Linked DNA regions of Tribolium castaneum. The protein of the gene in region 2 interacts with the protein of the main gene of each other region in a biochemical or structural test. Links are inferred from orthologs where the notes say so. Each region holds a gene or a part of one and is shown on either strand. Other genes may lie near its edges.

Region 1 (4,233 bases), on a different chromosome or scaffold from region 2:
CGCCTGCCACTTGAACCGTCACTGCGGAATGTCTCGACCCCAAGACCCGACTTATCCTCTCATTATCAGCCCCATCTCCCGTCAGGTTCCTCAAGACCAAGTACAACTTGTCTTCGTGTTGTTGCTGGAGCGAGGCTATCCTCCGTTCAGCGTCAGACCTAACCAGTTGTAAGTTATGACTGAGTTTTTGCACACGATATGCGAGATTTTCGTGTTGGTTTTCAATATCCAAAATCTCCAAATCGAGCTTTTTGCTGCTGCTCCTCAAATCGATAATCTTCTCGAAATATCTATGAAGGAGGATCCTCATTTCGTTCTCACTCAGTTTGAGGAACCGCTCCATCAGCATCCGATCGCCATGATCCTCAATCTCTTTGACTGGCAGGTGCCCACACAAAATCGAGTTTTTGTATTCTATGATCAAGTCTATTGCCTCAATAGCCTCCTCGTACTGCAGCAACTTGCGTTCGTCGGAGTCGTTCAGGAATTTTTTATTCTGGGATTTGAGCGTGATTTTGCACCGCAATTCTAATAAATAGTCGCGGGTTTTGCGCAAGTTGCGAATTTCGTGTCTCAGACTTTCAAGTTCTTCGCTATTTAGCGAAACGTTTGGTTTAATTAAAGCAACGACTTTAACATCGGGGGTTTTCGGCACGCTCTCGCAACTCGCTTTCGACTTAGAGCGCTCCTCCTTCAGCTGTTTCTCGTAGATTTGTTTATACTTTTCTTTCTCTTGTTTGTACTTTTTCAACTTCTCCCGATCTGTATGTAGACTACTTTCTAATTCTAGCAATTTGTTCCCGTCTTCGGTCAGGTTTTTCAACGATTCGGTGTCTCGCAGTCGCTCCTCAAGGGCCACAACTTCGCTCTTGTATTTCCCTTCCAAGTGGTGATTTTTTTGTAATTTCGCTTGCAAGAACTTGACCTCGGCGTTTTTATACTCCTTGCGTAACAACTGGCATTTTTGTTCGATTTTATGGTGAGCACTCGATTTTGTGTCTTTGTGCTTCAGGAGCTTTTCCATGAGGTTTTCCTTGACCCGAATTGTTTTTTCCAAATCAGAGATCTTTTTTTGATTCAATTCTAACGCAGTGGCGATTTGTTTAAGGATTTTCTTCTTGTTATCGTACGACGTAACTGCGATTTTTTGACTCTCGACATCGTCATTAATACGTAACGTATTGAGGGACAAGCAAGGGTTTAGTTCTTCAGCCGAGTGGATACTCCCTCTGCGCCCCCGTGCCCCCTTCATATGATACTCATTATTCGAGCTATTCATACTTTCTTTGGTACAAGAATTCGTAACGTTTGCACAATTAGCCTCAGAGACTAATTTATCGGTGTTTGAGCGAAAAGTCTCCATCAAACCTTGAACCCTATCAAGGAGACTCTCCTTCTCCTCCTCCTCAATCGCCTCGCTCTCACTACTATCACTCTCAATTTCCTCCTCAATCCGCTCGAGTGATCTATGAGGCTCTGAATTTTCACTCAAACAGTCTTCGCATTCTTGTTTGAGCATCAACCACTGTGATATTTGTTCTTGTTCGCTTTTTGGTAACAAGTCGTTCGCTACCAATCGTTGGAACAACTCTTCAGCGTTCGAGACAAGTTTCAGGAGTTGATTGGCGGCGAACTGTAGGCCGAAAACATCACAATTCTCTTGTGTTGACTCAAACGTAGCGTATGAGTTAACAGTGACGAAATTTTTGATCATTTGAGCCCTCAAACCCAACTGAAGTGTATACAAAGTCTCGGTGAAGTCTTGAGCAAGGGGGGACACGCAACAGATCAGAAGTGTCTTTGCGCGCCCCCCGAACGAGTCTTTCAGTAGTGTCGTCAAAACGGATTGAGTGTACGGCACAAAACTGCAGTTAAAATCAGACAGCGACATAATACACCTCTGTAAAGTCTGTATCCCTAAATCAGTGGGAATCGTTTGCATCATCCCGTTGCTGTCATAAACTAGAACTTTCTCAGTCCCTGCCAAATCGGCAAAACTCGCAGTTGAGACGCGATGTTGCACACTTGTCTCCACCACCCACTGCTGCTCCAAAGTGAGTGTGAACAACGTGTGGGCGCACTTGGGGGCTATATTCGACATTCCGACTTGAATCAACTGAAACACGTCACTGATATTCCGGCACTCGATGCTCCCAACGCCTAGCAAATCCTGGACGTTTTCGCCACAAATCTGCGACCAAGCGATATGCACGCACCAATTCCTGTCTCTGTATTGTTTCATTTTGGCGAAAACTTCGCGAATAAACCGCGGGATAATCCCGTGATCAGCCTCGCTAGCCGCACAGTGGAAACCTGGGCCTAGGAGCGTGTAGGACTTTCCAGTCCCGGACTGGCCCAGCGTGACCACCGAAACATCGCACCCTTCCACCAAATAATTCACCAAAGGGGCTGCCGTGGTTGTGAACACCGTGTTTTGGCAACAGTCGGCTGGAAGGGCGTAATTGACGGGGTAGTTTTGCGAATTCGCGAGTTGGATGGTGTTGTTGACGGGGTTGGAGTGCACGCAAACCATGTCGTTGGGGGAGTAGCCCGACGTATGGATGCGGACCGCCGTTTCTATGTGCATCTCCATCCTGGGAGAATTCAACCCATTGTATAACCTAAAATTTACAATTGAGTTGGGGGCTGGATAGTGGTGGGAATTACATAATGGGGGCGAAGTACCTGGCGGTTGCGGCGGTTTGGGTTAATTTATTAAAAATCAATGGATTTTAAATGCATTTTACAGCTGCCTCAAACAACACAACTGGGGAGTTTGGGTTTAGCACTAGGAGGGAACAAAATGGAGGATTTAAATAAAAGCGGCAAACGAGTTAATTAATCATTTTTATTAGACTATTTATGAATTAACATTTTTATTTCTTCTTCAAAGGCCCCCCTAAGTCGTCCAGTTCCTGTTTCAATTGTTTCAACTCCGTGTCAGGCACGTATCTAATCTCCTCGTCCCACTCTTCATGAGGCCGCACGTGGACGGTGATCCCCGATGGGGTACTAGCCTCCAGTGCACGTAAAATAACAGGCAACTGCAAATACGTGCCAGTTTCAAGCATTTCACTTTGAAAAATTAAATACCTGAGTTGATAAAACATCAGTAATTTGTACTGTCCGATCATAGTGCTTCAAATTGTACTGTGTGTTGATAATTTCACTCTTCGGTTTATAGGTCGTGACTTGAATGTCTTGATGGGGGGTTGCCCAAGCTTCCTCCACACTTATATCCATACTTCGCAATAATTTATGAATAAACTTTTGATAATTTTCCAATATGGCATAATCGTAGCCACGAATTTGAATATTTAAAGTGTCGTACATTGGAAGATTCGATTTCATGGCCTAAAAAATGTTTTTTGGGTAACTTTAAGAGGTTATATTTGGTTACCTCGAGATAATCGGGCTCGTAGAGGTTGTTCCCGAATGATTTGGGCGTCTGGTGCAAGAAACGGCATTGAAGAGCCCTACGTGTGACCCTCAATAAATTATTCATAGTATAAACTGGAGAACTTAAATTCTTTAGCGGTTACCTCCAACAAATTTGAGGTTATGTGGTCCACTTTTTTTTGATTTTGATTATAAATAAAGATAAAAAAACAACAAAACCTTTATTTAAATTTTTCTGTTACAAGATGTAAATGTAAACGTTACAAATGGTCGCTATCTGGAGACTATGGAATGTGATTTGCGTAATTGCCGATTATTAAACAGAAAAATTATTCCTTTACTTTGAAGATCTTTTGTACGTTACATAAATATTCCCTCCTGATCGCATATTGGTAATAAAAATAGAGTTTTCTACTAAAGTAAACATACAAAATCTGGAAAAAATATTTGTGGTTCATAAAAACAGTAATGACTCGTCAATCTATTAATTACCAAATAAATGCAGAGACTCGCCAGAATGAACAAGAAGTAGAGTCTGCTATCAGCTTTAGCCTACGATTGAATACTTTACTTTATTTCTCAATAAAAGACAATTTACCTTTTTCACTTTGACAAACGGCAAATATTGTGCTATGTAATATTCGTCGCTTATTTCAGGCAAGTTTTCCGTCACTAATTTATAAACCTGATCCATGGCAATCCCCATGTGGTTCAAAACGGGGCTTACATGATGCACATAGAAAGCCACAAAAGGCCCAACGTACGTATCAAAAGTCTGGTCAAGAAATTGCCTAAGCGATTGTGGTGGTTGTTTAACGCTTTCAGCGGCTATAT
Region 2 (4,224 bases):
GACACTTCCACAGTGTCCTTCCAACTAACTAGGCGTTGCCCGTACGCGCCTCACGCGTCATCATTTCCCGCCAATTTCAACAGCAGCGCCCCCTTCACTTAACAGACAGAAGGAAAAAAATGGTGAGACAAGCAGTCAAACGATACGAAAATAGAAGAAAACTGAAAAAATAATAACTTCATTGCGAACAAAAATTCTACAAATAATTAAACATAAAAATAATTTTAAATATGTTGGGGGAATACTCAGATTGTAACTGGTTTCCTGATTTCAAATTGTGTTAGATTTCTGGTGTCACCACAACTCAGTCCTGCGTAATTCACAAACATTATTTTTCAATTTTTGTAAATTTAAGGATAATTTGATTCACTACTAGAATAGCCGACAAGGAGCAATTTACTTTGATTTTTTATTTATATAAAAAAATTAACTGCATCTTGTCTCTGCTATCCCATTTAATTTATTAAATCATACTTAAATAAAAATAACAACAGACGTTGAACAGTGAATACAATTTTTTGTAAATGTGATTGTTGGTATAAAAAGCATTTTTCTAAAATCACCAAACAAAATTTTTGCACAGTTTTCATCAAATTAACACGAAAATCACAAGATTTGGTGTTGGTTGCCTAACATTTATACACTATATTGAAAATCTTTGTTTAAAAAACGAAAAGAACTTAGTAAAATATAAGGAAAAATTGTCTCTCTTTATTTGGTGTTTCAAACAAAAATTTTTAGATCGTCTGATCAACTGATTACAACAATTTAATTTAGCAACAAGATCATTAATAGATAATAGGCAAAAATAATAAGGAAAAAACAGTACAAGGAAATAAAAATTGTTTTACGAAATTACTTGAAAGAGAAAATAAGAAAATAAAGAATAACCAATAAAGACAAAAAATCTAAATTTTAAATAAAAAAATAAAAAATTGGAAAAGATGGCCTCAAAAAACATTATTGAAAATGTAAAAAAAGGATGATTAAGAAAAAACTATATAGAATAGAATAAAACTGTATAGAACTATACAGGATGCTCAAAAACTGGCGCACCAACTCAGTGGTACGCTGTTGAGAAGCATGTGTAGATCACGGAAAAAATCTTGAAAAAATTCCTAATGTCATATTTTAAAAAATATGGAGCTACAAACTTATTTTGTAAACTTCTTCAGTTTTCATTATTTTTTAATAGTTTTATGTTTCACACTAAGTAATCGTTCCCTAACACAACAATGAATAATTATTTTTAAATTTCCTATCAGACTTTAGCAGATTTTTTAATTAAAAAAAATAAAATTCGTCAAAAAAATCACAATTTGTAGATGTGTCAACATTGGGAATTATTACTTAGGAAACCGTTTCAAAAATAATTTATTTTTATTGTTGATTAAGTTCTATTGCGATCATCACTGTTAGACAACGTTGCCACATATCATCTAATTAAATATAATTAATATTTATAATTATATATATTTTTTATAATATATATATATATTTATAATATATATATATATATATATTATATATAATATAATTAATATAATTATTTATCAATAATTTTAATACAAAGAATTTTTTTACTAATTTTACCGTTATATGTAAGCAATTCTCTACCATATTCCAATAAGTTGGTGCGTCGGTTTTTGAGCACTCGGTAGAATAGAAAAAAAAGAACAGAATAAACCACAAACGACAAACTACAAAAGACGAAGCCATAAACTGAAGACAATATAATATGAAAGAAATATAGCAAAAGGTAAAAAAAAACAAAAAGTAAAGCAATGGTAATATGAAAAAGAAATGCTAAAGCAACGAATAGAATAATGTCGCAGGAGAAATAAACCCACAAAATTAAAAAAAAACAAAATAAAAAAATGCAAAAAAGGCATAAAAGAAAACACACAAAATTAAACGAAGATAGAAAGAAAAAATTATGAGACAAGCAGTTAAACGATACGAAAATAAAAGAAAACTGAAAAAATAATAAAAAATAACATGAAAAAATGTAATTTCATTGCGAACACAAATTCTACAAATAATTAAACATAAAAATAATTTAACATATGTTGGAGGAATACTGTTAGATTTCTGGTGTCACCACAACTTTTTACAATTTTTGTAAATTTAAGTATGATTTAAATCATTACTGGGATAGCAGACTAATTTACATTGGTTTTTTATTTATTAAAAAAAAAATAAACTCCATCTTGTCTCTACTATCCCATTTAATTTGTTAAATCATACTTAAATAAAAATAACAACAGACGTTGAACAGTGAATCAAAATTTTTGTAAATGTGATTGTTTGTATAAAAAGCATTTTTCTAAAATCACTAAACAAAATGTTTATACAGTTTTCACCAAATTAACACGAAAATCACCAGATTTGGTGTTGGTTGCCTAACATTTGTACGGTACATTGAAAATCTGTTTAAAAAACGAAAAGAACTTGGGAAAAATTGTCTCACCTCATTTGGAGTTTCAAACGAATCAAGCATTTGTATAATATTGGGATGATGCAAATGTCTTTGAATTTCACATTCCCTTCGTAGACCAATTATTTCCTTGTTCGATCTTCGACCCTAAATGAAATAAATTTGAACGAGTTCGAGCCTCAGTTTTTAACTCACTTTACAGATAACTTTTAAGGCAACAAAAGATGAATCTGCGATTACTTTCGCTTTGTAAACTCGTCCAAACGATCCTTCGCCCAATAATTTAATAACTTCATACTTGTCCATATCATTTTTTACACTTGGAGAGGATTGTTTTTGTTTACTTACACTTCCGCGTGACATTTTTTTGACAATCAGATGTTTGTCACGCTGACAGGCAGGGACACCAACCCTCGTGAAAGTAACTGACTGGGTGGAAAGCAATTTTTTGCAAAGAAATACCAATTTTGTTGATAAAAATGATTTTGTGATTAGCAGTGTTTAATAAAATCAACGTTATTGTGAAATTAACCAACTGCGAGGTTTTGTAACACTTATTTTATGTCCCCACTTTTAGGGAATTTGATTTTCGTATGTTGCCTAGAAATTTAAGGTTTTGTTTCAACGTTTTCTTATTTTTTTTCTTAAAAATGACCACAAAAATAAGCCCTAGGGAAGTATTAGCGTATTTAAATGACTTGGGTTATCACAACATTAACCCACAACAATTGAAAGAATTTGTTTACGGTTGGTGAGTCATTTTTTGTTACTTTAATTGAACAAAAGTTTGGTTTTCAGACTTGAAAAAATTGATAAAGTATGAAGAACGCAAGAGAAGCAAACAAAGCCTTGGAAATGAAACAGATGTGCCGAACGAAAACGAAAAAAATAAAGATGATGTGTTTCTAGTTTTACATTCACAAGGGACTCACTCTTCAAGAGCCAAAACAGTTTCAAAGAAAGAAAGTGTAATTTCGTTAAAAATCAAGACAAGTAAAGGACCACAACACCATTGTCACGAAAACACGTTGGAGGCACAAACAGCCCCTGAAAAGGGTCAAGAAGACACGCTTGACTTTGTGCCCGTTAAAGATGTGCCTTGGAAAAAAATGATTAATTCTAGCAAACCTAAAAGTTCCTGTAAGTATTTTAAAGTGTTTGTAAGTTTTTTTACGTTTAAGCTTGTAGTCATAAGACCGGGAATTCAAACAAATATTAATAAGAGTGACCCTGTCGCACTCTACCACCAATATCAAAAGTGTTGGAAGCGACAAAAAATTCCAGGTGAAGACAACAGAACCGACTTGAGGTGGGCTATTAGAGAAAAAATGATGAGTGGACCTAGAGTGACAAGAGCTTGATTTTTATGTGTATTTTTACGTTAAAACGACCAGTTTTATAATAAATTGTTACAATCATGTCGTGTTAAATGAAAATGACTTCGTGCAGAAAATCTAACCTCTAAATAAATGTAAACAAAACGATGGCGGTAATATTACAAAAAAAACTTTCAAGATTTATAAAATCGACTTTGACGACATTTGCTTCTCCTGTTTATCTAGAAATTGTCCCGCAACTGTTTTTATGATAAATTTCGAGGGGGCTGCCTTGTCTTCCATACTCAAGGATATAATCAAGTGAGTCAAAAGTTGTGTAACTACTGAGGTCATTACGATACGCGATTTGCGTATCGTAATATCTAATGGAGTATAATATTTTTCTATTTTTTAATAGTTTTTTATCTTCCTTTCTTTCTATTTTCAATACTGTCTTCTGCGGCCACATTT

Evidence for each region.
Region 1: the proteins of fu (region 2) and cos form a complex in vitro, tested with the Drosophila melanogaster proteins (4 studies listed by BioGRID, with this or other methods). The link is inferred for Tribolium castaneum from reciprocal best matches to the Drosophila melanogaster genes fu and cos.

The regions. Positions count from the first base shown.
Region 1 is NC_087402.1:2,906,930-2,911,162, forward strand, and holds the start of cos (kinesin-like protein costa), read right to left. Parts: upstream 2,801-4,233; 5' UTR 2,670-2,800; coding exon 2,668-2,669; exon of another isoform or gene 2,622-2,667; coding exon 1-2,621. Other genes in the region: mRpL48 (large ribosomal subunit protein mL48), read right to left, coding at 2,877-3,044, 3,094-3,354, 3,401-3,505; uncharacterized protein LOC103312599, read right to left, coding at 3,729-3,833, 3,892-3,951, 3,998-4,233. UniProt on the Drosophila melanogaster protein: Regulates cubitus interruptus (ci) processing by recruiting multiple kinases to promote its efficient phosphorylation.
Region 2 is NC_087395.1:1,160,890-1,165,113, forward strand, and holds the start of fu (serine/threonine-protein kinase fused), read right to left. Parts: upstream 2,801-4,224; coding exon 2,633-2,800; intron 2,585-2,632; coding exon 2,471-2,584; intron 1-2,470. Other genes in the region: centriolar and ciliogenesis-associated protein HYLS1, read left to right, coding at 3,031-3,184, 3,236-3,577, 3,626-3,798. UniProt on the Drosophila melanogaster protein: Probable serine/threonine-protein kinase; maternally required for correct patterning in the posterior part of each embryonic metamere. May be involved in control of cell division during metamorphosis and ovarian development. May interact with costal-2.